Rattus norvegicus: one gene and its partner. The protein of the gene in region 2 interacts with the protein of the main gene of each other region in a biochemical or structural test. Links are inferred from orthologs where the notes say so. Each region holds a gene or a part of one and is shown on either strand. Other genes may lie near its edges.

Evidence for each region.
Region 1: the proteins of Nr4a3 (region 2) and Six3 form a complex in vitro, tested with the Homo sapiens proteins (3 studies listed by BioGRID). The link is inferred for Rattus norvegicus from reciprocal best matches to the Homo sapiens genes NR4A3 and SIX3.

What each region holds. Positions count from the first base shown.
Region 1 is NC_086024.1:14,792,287-14,798,224, forward strand, and holds the start of Six3 (homeobox protein SIX3), read right to left. Parts: upstream 3,971-5,938; 5' UTR 3,616-3,970; coding exon 2,795-3,615; intron 1,152-2,794; coding exon 959-1,151; 3' UTR 604-958; coding exon of another isoform or gene 514-603; 3' UTR 1-513. UniProt on the Homo sapiens protein: Transcriptional regulator which can act as both a transcriptional repressor and activator by binding a ATTA homeodomain core recognition sequence on these target genes.
Region 2 is NC_086023.1:67,155,065-67,161,095, forward strand, and holds the start of Nr4a3 (nuclear receptor subfamily 4 group A member 3), read left to right. Parts: upstream 1-2,133; 5' UTR 2,134-2,656; intron 2,657-2,977; exon of another isoform or gene 2,978-4,386; intron 4,387-5,880; 5' UTR 5,881-6,031. UniProt on the Homo sapiens protein: Transcriptional activator that binds to regulatory elements in promoter regions in a cell- and response element (target)-specific manner.

The DNA.
Region 1 (5,938 bases), on a different chromosome or scaffold from region 2:
ATATTACAAACTGGGAAAATGACCGATCATTAAGATATACATAATTCATATAAAATTTTGAAATAAAAATAAAAATCTGTTACAGTCATAACTATTCTTTTTCCACATTTATAACCAGTACCCACACAGGCAGTGACAGAGTGGAGAGAAAAAGGTGCTTACGAAGAAAATGATTGTCGGCTGAACAAAAACAGAGGATTGCATCTTGTTTGACCAATACTTGGACTTAAAAAACAGAGATAGATAGATAGATAGATAGATAGATAGATAGATAGATAGATAGATAGATGGATGGATAGGGCTAAAGGAGAAAAGAGCAACAGAAGGAAGAAACATTTGCTATTTCTCTCGAGGAGTTTTTTTTTTCCTTTCTTTCTTTCCTTTAAAAAAAAAAAACAAATTCAGAACGGAGATGTCAGATTTTTTTTCTTTTTGTCTGTTTGCTTTTGTCGTCTTGTCGCGGCGGCGATGGTGGCGTTTTTTTGTATAGTCGACTCTTTAAATCATTTTAAACTAGAGAGAATATTTTCCCAGATACAAATAAATCGTCATGCAGGTGGGGTGCCGGGTCCGTGGGAACCAAAAGGAGAAGCCGTGCTTGTCCTAGAAAGTATACAATTGTCACCTCTTTTATGCTTTCTGCCCGCAACATCAGCGTTTGTGACTGTCTGTTGGCGTCGCGGTCCTTTGGGGTGGCCGTGGTGGTGGTAGGTGGTGGGGGGTTGTTGATGATTTGAGGTTAATTTATTTTTCTTGTTTTTTTTAAATATATTTTTGGCTGGGGTGGGAGTGTGTATGGACTTGTGTGTGTGTGTGTGTGTGTGTGTGTGTGGCTGTGTATCCTGATTTCGGTTTGTTCTAGGGATGGAGTAGAAGAGGAGGAAGAGGAGCAGGGCTAGGAGGAGGAGGGGAAGGTGGAGGGGGAGGAGGGGAAGGAGGAGGAGGGCGGCCTTGGCTATCATACATCACATTCCGAGTCGCTGGAGGTTACCGAGAGGATAGAAGTGCCAGTGTCCGCGCGCTCCGTCAGGCTGGACACACTGGTGGTCGGACTGGCTGCCGTGGACGGTGACTCTGCTGAGCCGTGCGTGGGGCAGCCGGGCTCGGCCAGCGAGCGCATCCCGCTCGGCCCGATGGCCTGGTGCTGGAGCCTGCGGGGAACAAGAGAGCCATGCCCGCCCTCACTCGGTGGTCCGCCGCCGTGCTCCCCTCGCTGGCACCGCGGGGAACCTGGCCAGGCTGGGCCCACACTCCCCTACAACCGCGGCCTCCCGCGTAGCGTGCCCCTAGCCACCTCGATTGCACTTCGCGTTCTTCCAGGCACCCAGCTGTCCCCTGAGTCCCGCAGAGACTTCCCAACCCAATTCCGAGCTCCCGGTTCTCTAGCCCAGGGAAGCGTTCCAGATAGGGACGGCCTCAGAGGAAGAGTAGACTCCCAAGCCAGCCTCCTGCAGAGACCTGAGCAGGCAGCAAAGGACGCTGAGACCCGAGCCAGCAGACAGTGAGGAAGAGCTTCGCTTTTCCTTCGCAGCCTCCGAGGCTCATGTAACTGGACCCGCTGCCCAGAGAACCAGGGATTCCACAGAGCCTCCTGCCAGGGCCTTCCCAAACACACACCCAGAGCTGTAGGGGTTCTCCTTAGAGCACCCATTGCTTTCCTTTCTGAATCCCTATGTAGAAAGCGCAGGACACGGGGAAGGGAAAATAGAGTAGCTGGAAGTTAAAGATGGGAATGGGGGTGGGGGGAGGAAAAGAAAGAAGAGAGAAGAAAGAGAAGACACGAGAGAAGGACAGACGGTCTCTTTTCTGGGTGAAGAAGCAGTTGCCTGAACCTAGGAGCCTTTCACTGGCCGTGGGCTCTCCCCCTATCTGGCGAAAAGTGGCCGCCACAGGCAGAGATAAGATGAAAGTGAATTCAGGCCTGGGTCACCTAAACCCACACACACTCTAAGCCTCCAGCCACCAGCAGCTGTCAGCAGCCAGGGCCCCTGCTCCTTGCCCAGGCCTAGTGCCTTTCAAACTGAGCAAACCGAACTGTTGCCGGATTCCCCTACTTTTTCCTCCCTTCCCTTTGCACTAATTTTCTCTCTGCCCTCTCCTTTTTCTCTTTACGTTCTCTCGGTGGAGCTTTAAAGATCCACCAGAACCAAAACAATTTTGTGACTTTGTAACCAACTTGCCTGGGACAACTGCACCTGCGGCGGACCAAAGGAATAGATGCTCCATAACGGAGGATGTAGGGAGAACACACTAAACTCACCAGGCCTCTTCACTCCGGGCCTGCCTCTCCTGTTCAGGGTCAGGGAGGGAAGCTCGAGGGATAGTGGCCACTCGCCTTCTCTTCGTGGCAGGAACCTGGCCCACTTTCCCCTCTTTGATGCTTATGGACGCCTCTAAGCCACCCACCCCGTCCCTTTTGCGGTGCACGAAATAATCAGATAGCAAGTCCTGTTTTTCTTTCCTTCCAACCTTCTAACTGGGGACAGGCCTGAAGAGACCCGTGAGGGGCTAAGGCTCCCAGGGACAGGCACGGTGGGTTGAGGACACCAGAGGCATGCTCACACAGCGCTGGCCTGGATATAAAGCCCTTCCTGGGCAAAGCAATCTATAAACCCAGAGCTGGTTGATCCCTGTTCTAGAGCAATCCGAAACTTTCTCTAACTGTCCAGAGAGCACCGGCGTCTCCAGCGCTGGGTCAGCCGCCCCCTACCGTGTCCCGATCGCCTGCGTTCCAACCGGTTTCCCCTTCCCTAGTCCCGAAGGCTGTGGCCCAGCCGCGGACCCCGCCACTGACCTGTTCTTGGCCGCCGCTGCGCGGTCGCGCTGTCGCCGGTTCTTAAACCAGTTGCCTACTTGTGTGGGGGTGAGGCCGGTGGCCTGCGCCAGTTCTCGTTTCTTGCTGGGGTTGGGGTAGGGATCCTGCAGGTACCATTCCCGCAGCAGGCTCCGAGTCCGCTCCTTGAAGCAATGGGTCTTCTGCTCCCCATCCCAGATGGTGCGCGGCAGAGGGAACTTCTTGCGCACGCGGTACTTGTCCACCGGGCCGAGAGGGCGGCCGCGCAGCTTCTCGGCCTCCTGGTAGTGCGCCTCGAGCCACATGGCCTGCAGCTTGCCGTGAGACTCCTTGGTGAACTTGTGATTCTCCAGGATGTGGTACAGGTCTCGGAAGTTGCCGGTGTGGAAGGCGACGACGGCGCGCGCGCGCAGGATCGACTCGTGTTTGTTGATGGCCTCGCACGCCCCAGGGGCCACGGGCAGCGACCAGAGGAAGCGGCCCAGCCGCTCGATGTCGCCCGTCTCCTCCAGCGTCTCGCAGACGCTGGCCACCTGCTCCGGCGAGAAGTTGAGGGTGGGCAGCTGGAACATGGACAACTCTTCCGGGGGGGCCCTGGAGCCGCCGCCGCCGCCGCCGCCGCCGCCGCCTGCTCCGCCAGCACCGCCGCCTCCCGCACGGTTCCCGCCGCCGCCGCCGCCGCCTCCTCCCGCGCCGCCGCCGCCGCCCGCACCGCTCCCGCCGCCGCTACTCGCCAGAAGTAGGGAGCAGTGGTGAGAATCGGCGAAGTTTGGCAACAAGAAGTGGGAGGAATAGAGGTCTAGGGGGGAGCGGAATACCATGGACTGACCTGAGAGGAGAGGAGAAAATTCAGGGAGAGGAAGAGAGAGGGGAGGAAGAGGAGGAGAGGGGCGATGAGGACCAGGAGGAGGGAGAGAAGAGGGGGGAGGAGGAGATGGAAAGGAGGGGGGAGCAGAAGGAGAAGGAGGGGGAGGAGGAAGGACGTAAGGGACACCCACACCCCACACACATCCACATACACACACACCCGCGCAGCCACATAGAGAGGGAGGAAGGAGAGCGGCCCGGTGCGCGCGCGCAGAGAGAGAACCCGAGGCAGAGAGAGGGAGAGGGAGAGGGAGAGGGAGAGAGAGGAGAGCGAGAGCCAACCACCGCCGAGTCAAGATTCAGCGATTCCACAGCAATCGCCCTAATGACAACAGCCTCATAATATCTCCCCTAAATCCACAGTGAGTGCAGCATTGAAACATTTTGTTTCGCTTTTCTATTGGTCTGTGGCGTGTCGTTGTGGCGTTGCCACGGCAACCACTGCCAATCACTGTCAGCCCTGCCAATCAATACTGAGTACGTAAGGAAGGTTTTACCACTTAGCCGGAGGGGGGGGGGGTGGAGGGAGAAGAGGACGAAACAGAATTTTTTAAAAAAAATCTTTGCAACTCTTAATATCCCTCTCTCTCTCTCTCTCTCTCTCTCTCTCTCTCTCTCTCTCTCTCTCTCTCTCTCTCTCCCCTCTCCCTCTTCCTCCTCCTGCTCAAAGAAGTTTTGATCTAAAAATTTGAAAAGGAATAGGCATAGAGTAGTTGAATGCGATAAGCAATTAGTTAGCAGGAGTGTTTTGGGGGCAGGAAGAGGTTCCCAGCCTCGGGAGCACCAGGCAGCCTTAGAAGAGGCCAGGTGGCCCAGCAAGGTTTGCACATGGTGTCCCAGCCACCTCCTTCTGTCCATGTGACCACTGATAGTGGTCAGGAAGAAAGAGGAGAGGTGACAAGGCTCATTGCATAGTCACCGTGGCAAGCCGCTGGGGGAGCCTAGATTGGGGAGATGGGAGTAGATGGGAGCTGTTACCTAGGAGGGCCAAGACAACACAGACTATGAGGACTTTCCTGGCCAGTGCCCTTGGACTCCATTCCCAAGCCATCGCACAGTTCTGCTCCCAGCCAAGCATTGGTTGAATTCTCCATCACCGTGTATTTTAAAACAGTGGAAACACTACACTTTCTCTGTCTTCTAAAGCAACTCCACTCTTTGTTCCCCCACCCCACCCCCAGACTTCAACTGCCTCCCACAGTGGTAGACTAGCAACAGGAGGCCAGAAACCTAGGGACTCTGGACCATGGGCAGTCTGGAAGATGCCCACTTTTCCTACATCCATGAGGACACCCCTTGGCGTGCTCAACATTCCCCCAAAAGATACAGAAACTTCGGGGCTACCCTGAGTAAGACCCAAGGCCTGAAAGTTCAGTGTTTGCTCATAATGTAAACAACTATAATACACACTCCAAGCCGAAATTCTCCATTCAAACAGCAATACCATAACCCTGAAACAGACACCCCTCTTGTTCAAAGAACACAGAGGGTCTTTCCTGCCTGCAGCTACCACAGCCCTCAGGCCAGGCATGGGCATTTATTTATTCTTAGGTATGTTGCTTGTGAGAAGTTGTAATCTGCATCTTGAGGCCGGCCTCCCTTTGTGCGGCTTCTGTAACTATGGAAGTGTGATTTACGCAGATTTGTCCGGGTCAGAGACATCTTTCCCTACGCACTGTGTATATTTAGACAGGATTCGGTTTGGTGTTAAAAAGTGTATATGTTGAATGGATTCACACACAGTAGCCAACAATGCCCACATTGTCGGCCCATGTACAACGCGTATTGAAACGCAGCGCCCAGACTTCAACTAATCTGCCCTCAATAAAGCTGAAATAATTATCTTAAGCTGCCTTTCCAGAAGAAAAATCATTGAGGAATTCAAAACTTTTTTTTCTAAAAGATCTTTTCTACATTCCGATGCAGATCTGGGGGCGCGGCGCCGGGTACACACCACTCTGGAGATCTCAATGAGGGAGGAGTGGAAAAAAAAGAAGTTGTGGGAGAATTTAAACGTGAACCCAACTGGAGGCTGGAGCCAAAATGGTCGCAGGCCTTAAATCTCAAGCTCGGGTCTTTCTTAGGCCTTGATCCGGCAGTGCCAGGTTTTAAAGGGCCGAGGAGTGCAAACCCGATTTGAGGGTGACACCGAATGTTTGGGTTGGGCTAGGGAACTATACTGGCTTTTTACCAGGAGACAGGTGGGGGAACTTAAAGTCGCTGACCAGGGCAGAAGAATGTTTCCCCTAAAAGGTGGACCCGTCGAGCCCCACTTTG
Region 2 (6,031 bases):
GGGGTACCGCGCTGGGCCATGAGAGCGCGCGCGCCATAGGCAGCGCGCCTCGCTCGCGCCCGCGCCTCCCTTCCAGCCCCCTACCCTCGGCCCCCAGTTGCCCAGCACCAGACCGGGTCGAGCCGAGTACAAGATGGCGACTCTGCAGTCCGCTCTCCGGGCCGAGTCGGGGCGCCCCTTGGTGCGGCGCGCGCGCGCGCCCGACGCCCCACTAAAAATAGCCGGGACCCGTCTATATTTGGTTCGCCGGATCCCGGCGCGGACGCGCGCGTCCCACCCCGCCCCGCCCCACGCCGTGCCGCGCTGAATGGAGACGGGAGGGGGTGACCGAGGGGAACCTACTCCGCTATCTGCCGCGCGCGCCGCCGCCTGGGCCCGGCCAACCGCCCAATTTAGTAACATCGCCTGCGTCAATCACGCGCCTCGCGTGCGTCAGCGCCGCGCGGCTCCAGGTCCTGCTCCCCCAACCCCCAGCCTTTGAATGGATTCAATGTAGGAGCGCCCTCCTTCTTTCTGGGCTAGGATGGGAACGCACCCGCAGCCAGGGGGCTCGGTTCCTCTGGGCTGGGACAACTTTCCGAGCGTCCTCTCACGGTCTTAAGCACACCAGCCTGCTAAAGTGAAAGTGGAGGCGTAGACTTAGAGAGGCACACTATGCACGTGTTGTTTTGTTTTCGAGTTTCTGGTCCCAGTTCGAACCTTCTTCGATTCTGGGGCATGTGCTATGACTAGGGGATCCTCTTCCCCCAACTTTGCCACCCACAGGCTCAAGTCAAAAAAAAAAAAAATGCCACTTGGGATTCTAGCAGACCACCAGAGACCGCGTCTGTCTGAGTTGTTTCATTCAAACATTTCCTTCGTAAAACAATCATTTCTGAGAGAGGTTACTTTCACTTAGTAGCCACCTTTGGAACTAAGAGTTCCAAACTCGAACATGTTTTGGTTTTGTTTGTCTGGTTTGCTTTGTTTTCAGCAAGAAAGTGACATCCTAAATTCATTTCCAGGAAGAAATCGCTGTCCCTTATACAGTCGCCCAGACTTTCTGCATACTTGGAAGACAAATGGGCCATAGGAAAGATCCCCTAGAGACCGCTTAATGAATCCTGTTGATTGATTTTGAAATATTTCATTTGAGAGATGGAAGGGGAGGCGTCTACGACCCTCAAAAAAAGTGAAAGTGCGAGTTCCAAGTGTGACCCGGTGCAGGGGAGGAGTAGAGGATCTGTTTAACAGTCAGACTCACTCAGCTGTTCAACACGTGTGGTGTGTTTGTTTTATATATAGTTTCTCGTGCAGCGCGCGCGTGGCTCGATGTGCATTTCTTTGGATTATAAAGTGTCCAGTAAAGAACACCACACCATAAGTGTAAAGAAATAAAATCTTGTCCCTGGAGCGGTCTGCATCCTAGGGCGAAACACCAACAGCAGACAGGAGGAAGAGGCAAATTAGCCTAGGCGCAAAGGGCCAGAGAGACGTAAACAGCCTTAGAACCACTGCATGAGGAAAGCACAGCTGCACCTCAGGGAGTCTTCGGGCTGGTGCCAGACTCCTTCAGCAGTGACTGCCAGGTCACTCGGAGAAGCTGGCTGGCGTAGCCTTCCCTTTCGGAAGAGCTGTCCTCTCTCTTACCCCCTCGACCTGGCTAGGTGCCTCGGGGCAGCCTCGGAGGCGAGCCAGCAGCACTCCTCCAACTCTACTCCACCCGGAGCCTGACAGCTGGGCGGTCCCGCCTGACCCGCGGGCGGGCTGCGGCACCCTCCGGTAGACCGGCGCCCTGGCAAGCAGCTCCGGTGCAGAGGGGTTGGCGGCGCGAATCTGAGAAGCCTCAGGGCTGTGGTCCGCAGCTCCCCGCGGTTTCCATTGTGCGTCCCTGAGAATGGCCGGGGAACGCGCGTGAGCGCGCGCGCGAACACACACACACACACACACACACACACACACACACACACACACACACACACACCCTCGCACACGCGGAACCGGCTGGGCCAGGGGAGGGAGGAGGAGGGTGACGTAGCGTCCCATGGCGTCACATTGACGTCTCGCATTCCAGGCACTCTATGGAGAGGCCGCTAGGGCTCCTGTGGCATAAATGACGTGCCGAGAGAGCGAGCGAACGCGCAGCCGGGAGAGCCGAGTCTCCTGCCTCCCGCCCCCCACCCCTCCAGCGCCTGCTCCTCCTCCGCTCCCCATACACAGACACGCTCACACCCGCTCCTTCACTTGCACACACAGACACACGCGCGCTCACACGCTCCGCACACACACTCCACTCTCTCCCGCGCGCTCACACCCCTCTCTCTCGGCGCCCTCGCCGGTGTCGCGCCGCGCCGCGCCGCGCCGCAGCCGGACGCCCCTCCAGGGCTCACTTTGCAACGCTGACAGAGCGGGCAGTGGCCGTGGAGGTGGGAAACGTGGCGACATCCTAGCCCCTGGTCGCAGCCGGAGACTGGACGCCTGCGGAACCTCTCGGCGGCGCTCTCCCATGAGTTGGGATCGCAGCATCCCCAGCCAGCCGCTGCTCACCGCCTCTGGGAGCCGCTGGGTTTGTGCACCGCAGCCCTTCCGGGACAGCAGCTGTGACTCTCCCCCAATCCAGATTTCGGGGTCGCTCTCTAGAAACTCGCTCTAAAGACGGAACCTCCACAGAACCCAAGTACGTACAATATGCCCAGTTAATATGGGGACTTGCTTAAAAGTTGGCGCGCTGGGAAGTGTCGCTCCTGAAATTGACAACTTTTAATGTGGGGCTCCCCCCCCCCGCCGCCTCCCCTCTCAGGCTTTGCTCCCCAGGCGAGCGGTGGGCTCCAATCTGAAACTTTTCCCCTGTAGCTGGCCCTCGGGGACTCTGGAGCTTGTGAGATTCTTCTCCCCACCCAAAGAGGCGAAAAGCCTCTAACAAAGAGGAGGACCTGGATTTGTGCTATAGCTGCTCCAGCGTTGTAATTCAGGGTATTTCGGCTCTAGTTGTCATGGTAATGATGCTCTCGGCGGCGGCGGCGGCGGCGGCGGCGGCGGCTGCGGCAGAGAGTTGGAGCCCCGGTGATGAACGGCAGTAATTTTCCTGCCTTTTAAGTGGGATTGAAAATAGGGACTCTGGTGGGTCCGAGTTAATGTGTCTAATGGTGAAATGAAGCTGGTTGTCTGGGAGAAAGCCTAGGAGGGACACTGCCTGGGCAGCAGCGGCCAGAGTTTGCAGAGGCGCTGGAGGAGCTCAGCAAAGAGGGTGTAATTGTAGGAATGCGGCTTATTGTATTGAAATGAGCCCGGGGCTCCACTAGGCACGTCTGCCAGGCGTCGCCGACTTGCTGGTTTACACTTTTCCCCACGGAGGTAATCGGGTGTAATTGCCGACTCTCGCGCCCCGACACGCGTGGGGACGGCGTCCCTCTTCTCCGGGCCTTGACTGGTGTGGGAAAGGCTTGTGTTACTACTTTTCAATGCGCTTTCGGAGAAGTTGCTCCGAGTGTTTTTATTCTTGGTAAGGAGGAAAGTTCTCGATGAAAAAGAGAGCTGAGAGGCAGAGCTCAGTCTGCGGAGACTGGCTTTCAAAGGCACTTTCTCGAACCTGTTGGAGGCTTCCGGCAGTCAGGAGGGAGCTCATGATCATTGGTCCCTTGATTTCCAAGAACGTTCTTGGAGGTGGCCTTTTGTTTATGTGCCCGGGTTCTCCCGAGGGAAGAGCCGCGGGGAGTGTGGTCATCAGTACTCTCGAGCTGCTTATCCTTGGGCCTTGGAGTGCTGGGAGAGAGGTTACAGGGTTCGGTTCAGCCATTCCTTCGCTATTCCAATTCCGGAGCTCCTTTCCCAACAATCGGGAAATGTTTCTCACAGAACCAAGTTAGAGAAAGAAAAGCTGCCCAACGCGCATACTGAATACAATGAATGAAATTACTTTATTGGAGTTGTTTTAACGCAGCAAGATACGCATTAACGTGAACGCCAAAGACTGCCCGGGCCACCACTCCCTCCACAGGCGCCCCCAGCCCCCCCCCCCCAATCCTGGACCCAGCGCTGGCTCACAGAAATTCTCCCCCGGGGTTTGTCTCAGCTCCCTCGGTCTTTCTGAGAATCTCTGTCTTTCCCTTTCTGCCGGTCTCTTCTCCACCTCTCTTGCCCCCGCCCAACCTCCGCCCCCGCTCCCCATTGGAAACTCCGCGGAGGAGCCCGGGTCACAATGGTGTGTTTCACGGTTTCCTCCACACACTTCACCACGGGGAGAGGAACACGGGGGTGTTCCCTTCGTCTGCCCCGGAGAAAGAAAGGGGCTTTGACAGAGGTAGTTATTTCTTCCTAATTTACAACCCCGAGGCTCTGTACTCCCGGCCCCAGCGGCCACGAGCCTGAGCGACAGAACGTGTTTCCAGGCGCAGAGGCTTTACCTAGGTAACCGGACCATCGGGGCGGGGGGCGGAGAGAGCGATGGGGCTCTGGGCTGGGCTGTACGATGGGCGGGGTGCCGACCTCTGAGAGGAACCCCTTTCCTGGGGAGGCGCGACCCCCGCCCACCAGAGTTCAGAGGCTGCCCCTGAAAGAAAGACTACTCTTGAAAGGCTCCGAGAGACAGTCGGGATAGGAAACCCAGTAGAATTGGGGGTGGGGTTGCTGGAAGACCCCCCCCTTGAAGATGCGAGAGGGGGAGGACGAGAAGCACATGCTACAGCTGTGGAAAGATCCACTCGTGCCAACGCTTCAGCGAGCGCAAGGTTTCCGTCGGAGTACCTCGGGTTGGGGATGGCAAGGGAATCCCCCATTTCCTGGCCATCGAGAATTTCCTAGACCTGGGGAACCCGAGCCTCTTTCTCTCTACAAGCAAACTCTGGGCGCGGGAGTGGCAGGAGATGAAACTTACCCCACCCTTGGGTCCAGCTTTCACCAGAGATCTTTTGGTTAGTTTGGGGGTTGGGTTCCCCACGAGGGGGGAGGGGGCGCATTTCTAACCTTTGAGCTGTGCCCACCCCGAACAAAGGGGGCGCTATAAGCCGGAGTTAGGGGCAGCTAGAGCCCTCCTCCCTGCCAGTCAAGCTGCGCTTCCAACTACAAAGTTTCACTAGGTTGTGCACCGGGACTTTCGCCCGGGAGCCGCTCTGGGCGCTCTCCGGAATGTACCACCTCTGAGCCACCCGGTGGCCTGGAGCCTTGAGGCCGCCCACCCTCGGGGACACCGCCCGCTGAGGGCAGGGGACCTCCCTTGATCCGTCGCAGCCACAGCCAAAGCTGTCTGCCGGAGCGCGAGGCTCCCAGCTTAGGCCTTTCCTCTGTGCCCTTTTGTTTGCTTGACCCTTGGCCCTCGAAACTCGCGACTAATAGAAGGGAAGCTCCATTAGCATTTAGAATGAAAAGCACAGACTTTCTTAATTCCTCCGGGCATTCATGCATTCGTTCCGGACCTTGTGCATTTCCTACGCGGCGTGTAAAATTTGTGTTTGAGGAGTGGGGGCCGTCGGAGTTGAAAAATGGCTATTTTCTTCAGCATACTCACTGACACTACCACAATCCCCAATTCGGGCTCTATTCGTTCCTTAAGTGTCTCCCTTACTTCGGTCTTCCTGACTTCGCAAGCTGGAAACCAACAGTGGGTGTAGAAAAGATCAATTTCTTAGCGACGACCATGCAGGGATTTTAGCATCATGTATCATAAAAGAAAGGGCTGTGAGCTCAGTGGGTGCCGGCAACCTCCCCTTAGCTTCCTACGACGATGTGGTGCTTCTTGCCCAGGACTCCGTGAGCCCTAAGCGCTTTCACTTAACCTTATGACATTCTTTGTAATTATCTAGCGTTTCTCCAGGTCCCCCACCCCCACCCCACTCACCCAGCCCTGGGAAAGATGACCCAGCCTAGTCTTACCACAATCTCTGTCCCCTTTCTCGGTGCCTGCAGAGCCCACTGCGGGAGAGCGCAGCCCGACAAGCCCGGGCGCTGAGCCTGGACCCTCAACAGAGCGGGCCAGCACAGCGGCGGCGGCTGCTTCGCCTATCCCGACGTCCCCGCCTCCTACACTCTCAGCCTCCGCTGGAGAGACCCCCAGCCC